2 linked regions of the Rattus norvegicus genome follow. The protein of the gene in region 2 purifies or fractionates together with the protein of the main gene of each other region. This does not show direct contact. Links are inferred from orthologs where the notes say so. Each region holds a gene or a part of one and is shown on either strand. Other genes may lie near its edges.

What was found.
Region 1: the proteins of Pnkp (region 2) and Xrcc4 purify together in Homo sapiens (co-immunoprecipitation; 5 studies listed by BioGRID and IntAct, counting the BioPlex papers as one, with this or other methods). This does not show direct contact. The link is inferred for Rattus norvegicus from reciprocal best matches to the Homo sapiens genes PNKP and XRCC4.

What each region holds. Positions count from the first base shown.
Region 1 is NC_086020.1:22,905,162-22,908,975, reverse strand, and holds part of Xrcc4 (DNA repair protein XRCC4), read left to right. Parts: intron 1-2,006; coding exon 2,007-2,182; intron 2,183-3,814.
Region 2 is NC_086019.1:104,476,577-104,481,175, reverse strand, and holds the start of Pnkp (bifunctional polynucleotide phosphatase/kinase), read right to left. Parts: upstream 3,064-4,599; 5' UTR 2,999-3,063; coding exon 2,848-2,998; intron 2,296-2,847; coding exon 2,249-2,295; intron 2,023-2,248; coding exon 1,726-2,022; intron 695-1,725; coding exon 615-694; intron 530-614; coding exon 472-529; intron 207-471; coding exon 99-206; intron 1-98. UniProt on the Homo sapiens protein: Plays a key role in the repair of DNA damage, functioning as part of both the non-homologous end-joining (NHEJ) and base excision repair (BER) pathways.

The sequences.
Region 1 (3,814 bases), on a different chromosome or scaffold from region 2:
CTGTTTAGTGAAATTAGCATATTGTATGTTTTCATTTTTTATTGGCACATTACTTGTATAGAAGTCTTTATCATGGCATTTTCATACAAGTCTACAATGAACTTTGATCATATCTACCTTCATTCTATTTTTCCTGCTTTCTGATGTTTCTCTTCTTTCTCCTCCGCACACATTTTTCAAATCTAGATTTCACATATAACAGAAAACATGCAGTTTTTTTCCAAAGTTTAGCTTATTTCTCTTAATTGTTTGCTCTCCTGTTTTATTCCTTTTATTGTATTGTATACCTTTACCATACTTTTTTAATCTACTCATTCACTGATAGGCAGTCAGGCAGATTCTTCTGTCTATTGTGAATAGTAACTACTGGATATGAACCTGTCCCTATTTTATACTGACTGATGCATTTGGGTATTTACCCTAAGAGTGCTTTAGAATGATCTATTCTGTTTGCAGTTTTGGGGGGAAGTGGAGATGCACTGCTTTACACCCCTATGAGTGATGTTTAAAAGTTTCTTTTTATACAGTTTATAAGTTTAAGTTTATACAGGGTCATCTTTTCCGCAACTACCTCTGACTAAGTTTCCATGATGCTCTCCAATCCATAGCCCTCTTTTCTTATGGCCTGTATGGTTGTTGTTGTTGCTGTTGTTGTTATTGTCAGTAACCTCCTGTCTCCAGTTGATCCTCAGCATATACATGCTAAGTAAAGGTTTACTGCATCTTTACCAACTTGTGTCGTTTTTCTTTTCTTAAATAGAGCCATTCTGACTGTGGGATGGAGTTTAATTGTCGCTTTGGTTTTAATTATCCCGTTGAGTTAGGAGGATATTGATCATTTTCTCTCAATTTATTTGAGTACTATTCAGTTCATTTGTACATTGATTAGGTTATTATGTCAAAGTTGGTTTTTCTTAGCCTTTATATTTTAAGGATACTAATTCCCCTGAGATAAATTGCTTGCAAATGCTTTCTCTCATTATCCCAATTTTTCTGTACAGTTTTTTAGTGCAGAAGCTCTGTAATTATGTGTACTCCTTTTGTAGTTCTCCCAGTTAGGTCTTGAACTATTGCAGCCCTACTCAGAAATTTCCTGTTAAGCCTATATTTTGAAGTATTTTCCTCATGAATTCATCTCTGTCTTTCCAATTTTTTGTCCTGGTATTTCCTGAGGACGGGTATGTTGGACATGTATCAACTGGGGCTGTGGACCCTACAGTCACTCATTCTTTGCAGTATTACTGATTGTGGATCTTCGTAGTACGCCTCTGCCTACTACAAACAAGGTTTCTTTGATGAGAGCTGAGAACTATATTTATCTTTGGAGATAAGGCACTTAATACAGAGTTAGAAGCTATATTGATTTAGGGAAATGGCATTAGTTCCGAGAAAAAGCCTCCATGTCAGGACTGGTTCAGTTCTTCCAGTCCTACATTAGAAGTTATGCAATAGCATCTCACTTGGAAATTGTAGGACTGCAACTAAGGACATTGGGATATCTCATACTTTGGGAGGATCTCTAGAACTCTTGACCAAGAGCATGATGGTTTCCCTTTTGTGACACTGGAGTTTTTGTTAGGTAAGCTGTTATTCCTGCATAGAGGAACTATTACCCACGTGGCATAAATCTGTAACACACACACACACACACACACACACACACACAGTTCCTAATTCTGAGTACATAGTCTGGTATAACTGCAGAAGCTGGAAAGCAGAGGGGATTAGAGACGAAGACAGTGAGCTCAAGAGATGGAGTGGACACAGGGGCTTCCAATGGGCAAAGGGGGGAAGTTTGGGTGCTTACCTAGGGAAGAGGGGAATGTGTTACAAGAGAGGGAGGAAAAAGATAAACAGCACTAAATGTATCTGCAAAAAACTACTGGGAAACATTTTATTTTATTTCTTCAAAGTTCTGTTATATTGGTTAAGTAGTTGTAACAGTTAAATCCATATTTTCTAATAGAACCTTTTGATTTCATCTCCTTAATTAATCTTTCCCATAGTTTCTGAATCGGAGATTGCACAGGAAGCTGATGACATGGCTATGGAGCAGGAAAAATACATGGATGAGCTGAGACGGGCACTGGTGCCAGAGTCGGGAGCAGCTGGTGCATACAAGTTCATCTTTTCCAAGGACACTCAGCATTTCTCCCTGGAGAAAGAACTGAAAGATGTTTCTGTGAGTAGCCCTTCCACGTTTGTTTTCATTGATACATTTTGTTTCACATTTCAGTAGCAGGTCCTGGAACAACTCAGAAATAAATACCAAGAAATTGCTTGGGATCCTTGTTAGTATGCTTCAATTTTTATAAAGGAAATCATATGTATAAGAAGTGTTTCTGTGAGGGTGTTGTCTGTGTGTGTGTCTGTGTCTGTGTACATGTGTGGGCATGCATGTCGTGTGGCCATGGCTGTGTGTGCCATGTCCCATGTGTGATGGTCATAGCCTCAGACTGTCCGCCTTGTTAGCAAGCACTTTTACCTACTACGCCCTCTCACCATTCACAATGTTTCAGAGTTAAAGTTGATGACATATTTCTTTCAACACTGCAAAGTAAACACTAGGAAATGTATTTACTCATCACTATTTAAAACACTTTAAGTACTGTATAGTTAATTACACGAATGAACAAGAGTATTAGACCATTGCAGCCTGGCTTTCTCAAATTAAGTTTGGGAAAATACAGAGTTTTAGAAAGAAAATATTAAGTTTATCTTTGCCTATTTAATAATTGATTTATTTTCTTTCTTCTAGTATATTTGAAATTTTATCTTATTTTAAAAAATTTTAATAATTTTTTAACTTGTGTTGGTGCCTTGCCTGCATATGTGTCAGTTCCCCTGGAACTGGGATTGTAGGCTATTGGGAGCTGCCTGCCACGTGGGTACTTGTAATTGAACCTGGGTCCTTTGGAAGAGCAGCTGGTACTTTTAGCCCTTAAGTCTTCTCTCCAGCCTTTTATATATGACATTCTAAAACAACATAGTTCAGTGTGGTAATACATATAATTAAGGAATCATGATTTACATTGTCCTACTTAAAAACAGTAGAGCAGAACTAGCTTTGTGTCTGAGCTTTTAAAGATTGTGTGCTTTCTAGACCCACATAATCTGCTACATGGCTCAGTTTCTGCACCAATTCTGACTAAGGAGCAGCTAGCTTAAAAGTTTGTGTTCACTCTCTTTACAGCCTCCCTAAATTAAATTAACATTAAATTCACTTTTGCCTTTTGTTTATTAATCATATGAGATCCACACCATAAGAAAGGGAACTTTATCAGGTTCATTGATAGTAATTAAGGAATTGGTTCTTGTTTGTCTGTTTTGTTTGCTTGTTTTGTTTTTAGTTAAATCTAATTTTTAAATGATTTTAAAACAATCTTTTAAACTCAATAGTACAGGAGATTTATCAATCTGAGAAGTATTTCAAGAAATAACTAAAATTATTATTTTCAAATATATTGTGGGAAAATAATATAGAATGACTGACTCTTGTAATTTCATTTACAAAATATATATTTCTATTCACTGTCAATACATGTTTTTTATTCTGTTGAGATTATTCCCATAATAGCTTAAAATAGGTTGGTTTGAAGTGACACATTCAGTTTAGTATCACTTATGTTCTTTTCTGTGGTCCAAGCTCAGTCAGATGACATTAAATGCCCTTATAAGTGCGCCTGCTTCTTCTCATATTGCAAAGTAGAACTGGTCAAATTAAGAACAATGATATTTTCTATTCAACAGATATTTATTTTAAACACTTTTGGTTATTTTGTGATAATGCATGGCAAGTTCCTGAGAAGTTTTC
Region 2 (4,599 bases):
TCAGTATGATCCCACCCAAGGGCCTCCATACCATACATTGGCACATTCTCTCTGGGCCCCTGTCCCAAATAGTCCCTAAGTGTCCCTTCTGGACATACCTGAAATGGGACCCCTAGTTTCTCCAATACAGCTTCCACCTTGGCCTTGAACACCTCTGCTGGCAGCTTGCCTCTCCCGATGCCCATTTGGTTGGTGAGAATTACCAGCTGGGAACAGACAGGGACAGACTCGAGCGCTACCAACACAGCTCAGTCTGAACCCTACACACATACATGCATGTGTCCATGTACACATGAACACAGGTTCCCACCTCTTTTCTTTTTTTTTCTTTTTTTCGGAGCTGGGGACCGAACTCAGGTCCTTGCGCTTGCTAGACAAGCGCTCTACCACTGAGCTAAATCCCCAACCCCCAGGTTCCCACCTCTTGTGGCTGTTGGCTTCCAACACCTATCCATGCACACAACCGCATACCTTGTAGCCCTCAGCAGCCAGCTCCTGGAGCTTCTTTGGAATCTCTGGGTACAGAATCCTAAGGTTGATGGGAAGTAGCAGGTGACTTGTAATCTAAAGGACTCTGGGCTCTCATCCCAGCCTCTTCCCATGTCCCACCTCACCTCCAGTCACTAGGGCTAGTGGGGAAGACCTTTCCAGAGCGGGTGGTGATGAGGGTCCCATCTAGGTCAAAGGCAGCCACCTGGTATCACCAACAACAGGGACAGCAATACTGTCATCGCTGACCTTTGCTACAGGCTTGTTGACACCATCCTTTTCTTCTTCAACAGTGTTTCTCTGTGTAGCCTTGGCTGTCTTAGAACTCACTCTACAGACCAGACTGGCTTTGAACTCAGAGATCTGCCTGCCTCTGACTCCCAGGTGCTGGGATTAAAGGTGTGCACCACCACCACCTAGTGACACAGCCTTTTATCTTTTCCTTTTTTTTTTTTTTTCTTTTTTTTTTTTTTCCGGAGCTGGGGACCGAACCCAGGGCCTTGCTTTCTAGGTAAGCGCTTTACCACTGAGCTAAATCCCCAGCCCCGACACAGCCTTTTAATATCAGTATCACCCTTCCGTGTCCTCTGTCCTCCACTTCCAGTTTTTAGTAGGGACCAGTGTCTCCCCAACCCTTTCTCTTAGAGCATCTCCTTGGAGGATTAACAGCCCAGAAAGAGCAAAGGGCTTTGTTGGAAGAGTTGGAGAGATGACTCAGTGGTTAAGAGCACATGTCAGATGGCTCATAACTGCCTGTAACTACAGCTCCAGGGCACACAACACTCCCTGGCCTCTGCAGCCACCTGCATACATACAGTACACCCAAAATCATGCAGGCTCATATAATTTTTTTTTCTTTTTCTTTTTTTCGGAGCCGGGGACCGAACCCAGGGCCTTGCGTTTGCTAGGCAAGCGCTCTACCACTGAGCTAAATTCCCCAACCCCTCATATAATTTTTAAAAAAGAGAACTTCACTGTTGGTCGAGTGCCCACAGGGAACTAGACCACACATTTTCTGTGTCCTAATTTCAGAGCGACCCATTAAAAACATCCAAGAAAGGTCATCACTGATTACAGGGCCTGATCTGTACCCTGTACCTCAGTGGTGGCAGCCACCACTAGCATCCTAGCCATCTGCACAAAACAGTTGAGGCTCAGAGACTTTGATAGACTAGCACAGAGTTAGTTGCACAGGAAACTTTGAATTAAATGGCTAGACTGTGGTGGTGGCCTCACCTTGCCCCGGGGCTTCACTCCAGACGCTGTGAACACCAGTAACTGCTTAAAGCTCTCCCAGCCAGGGGAGGATTTCCGCATTCGCTTTTTCTGAGGCTCAGTATCCTTTCCCTCCTCTGGATCCACAGGATTGCCTGGTGGAGTGTCTGGCGGGGATCCTGGTGTGCTGATCTCTTCCCAGCGCAGGGTCAGGGGATATAGGCCATTAACCAGATAAAGGACATCCCCCACGCTTAGAGAGCCAGACACCCCTGGCTTCAACTCCTGGACCCCAACAGTTGATGGGTTAACACCCAGCTGCGGACAGAGGAGGAGCTAGGGTTGGCACCACCCCCTCATGGAACACCTGCCTCCCCAAGTCCAACACCTTATCTCCCAATCAGATCTTTAATCTTCCCACCTAGTCACTTCGTGTGGCCAGTCAGAACTTTGGCTCTAGTCTGGCACGGTGGAAAAGGGGAAAGTTGTGATCTACCCGGCCCCTCTCCCAAGTCCTCGCTACCCGCTGCTGAGACGCTGGTACCTGTTTCACTGCCACTGTCCGGGTTTCAGGGTCTGCAATCAGCTCCACTGAGGGTAAGGGGGTGGAGTCAAGGTTTACAACACGTACGGGGGCTTGGCCAACTACAGTCTACTATTTGGAAAGAGGCACTTTCCTTCCTCTATCCCCCAACACAGGTTGCCCAGGATAGCCTTAAACTCGCTACATACTAGCGGCTGGGCTTGAACTGATTCTCAAGCCTCTACCACCCAACTGTCTGGATGACAGGTGTGTGTCACCCCCGGCCCGAGGCAGTTTATTCAATAAGACCATGTTCTTCGGAGTCCCTAGGATTGCCAGAGACTCGGACTTGCCCAGAACAGATTTTTCTTTTTTTAATCTGTAGGGTTGGCTTGTTCCATGAGATACATTGGGTAGACCGAGGTCTTGGACATGGCCCGATGCATCACGGCCTGATGTATCCTGCTCAGCGACCTTCTCTCTCTTGTATCCTCTTCCCTCCCGGTGACAATCCCAGATCTGCTTTGTCCCTCCCGTTATGCCTCGTATTGCTCCTGGTTAGGCATAAGTTCCCCAGCTTCCAATCCCACTCACTGCCTCAGTTCCACTCCCGTGCCCACCTTGGTTTCGGGAGCACTTCCGGTCCATCACTTGGGTAAGGGGTCCCCGACCGAGAACCAGGGCTTGGCCATCCGACGGCAGGAATATAGGGGGTGGCCCACCGGTGGGGCTCTGGAGCCACAGGCGGCCCCTGGATCCAAGCTCTGACATCCTTGGATGCTGTGAAGGGGAACGGACTCACTGTGGAGCTCGCTCCGCAGCCAGCAACCGACCCGCCACCGGAAGTCCTGATTTCCCAATAGAGTCACACCGGAAATCCCGCCCTTTGCCTATGGGCGGGTTCGACGTTTCCTAGGCTACCACAATGGTTGCAATGCGTATGAGCATTGCATAGTTAAGAGTATCTTCTGAATTCATTCTAAAGCTCATCCACGCTGTGGGAAAGACTCCGAAAATTTGGCTCCTCCCACAGCGCATGCGCAGTCCCGACTCGCTTGCGGCGCTGTGAGGTTGTGCGGATAGGGGTAACTCGGATCCATAGGCGCTTAATCCCTACGCTAGAGTTACTCGGTTTTGGTTTTTTCTCCCTTGTATGTTTGTTTGTTTTAGTGAGACAGGGTCTCAAGATATAGCCGTGTTAAAATTCCTTCCTGGACATGGTGGCACTTGAGTTTAATATTAATAGTAGTACTCGGGAGGCAGAGACAGGCAGATTTCTGTTGTGTTCGAGTCCAGTCTGGTCTACATAGTGAGATTCTGACCTCACCGCAAAAATAAATAGGTAGATAAATAAATAGATAAATGAATAGATAGATAAATGAGTTACATTCCAGGGAGGACCTAAAAAATGTCTACCCTTCTCCAAAAGTCTGAAGGATAACCCGAAATGATTCCACCACAGATCATTCTGGGAAACCCGAATATATTGCCGCAAAAATAAATAGGTAGATAAATAAATAGATAAATGAATAGATAGATAAATGAGTTACATTCCAGGGAGGACCTAAAAAATGTCTACCCTTCTCCAAAAGTCTGAAGGATAACCCGAAATGATTCCACCACAGATCATTCTGGGAAACCCGAATATATTGGGGCTTACAGAGCATAGGTGGTGGTGGTCGTGTTGCTGCCCACAAAAAACTACACTGGGCCGTCATTACCTAGCAGAAATGAAGCCCTTTTTCATACTGCACAGACAGAGCTACACTTCTTCCTCACCAGTATCCTCTAGCCCCTCCCCAGACTACAGGCAATTAGGGCAGAATTGCATCTAGTTGCTTGCCAGTAAGGCTGGGCACTAAGGTCAGGGTCCCATGACCTTGCTTCCTCCTCCTAGGAGCGAAATCTGTCAACAAGCCCAGCTACAGTTATCTTTCTAGCTCAGACAAGTTTTTTGGCTTGTACATTAATCCACCATAACACCCTAGCTGGGCTCAAACTTACAGAGACCTGCCTGCCTCGCAAATACTGGTATTAAAATAGAATGCTCCAAGGGTTGGGGATTTAGTTCAACGGTAGAGCGCTTGCCTAGCAAGTGCAAGGCCCTGGGTTCGGTCCCCAGTTCCGAAAAAAAGAAAAAAAAAAAAATAGAATGCTCCAGCCAGGTGGTTGGCGGCACATGCCTTTAATTCTAACACTGGGGAAGCAGAGGCAGAGGCAGGCCGATCTGTGAGTTTGGTGACAGCTTGGACTACAAAGCTACACAAAGAAACCCTATCTTGAACAAGTCTCTAAAACCCGAAAGAAAGGAGTCTAGATTAATTGACATTAGCTCCTGTGCCTCCTACACCCACCTCCCTGCTGATGGAATG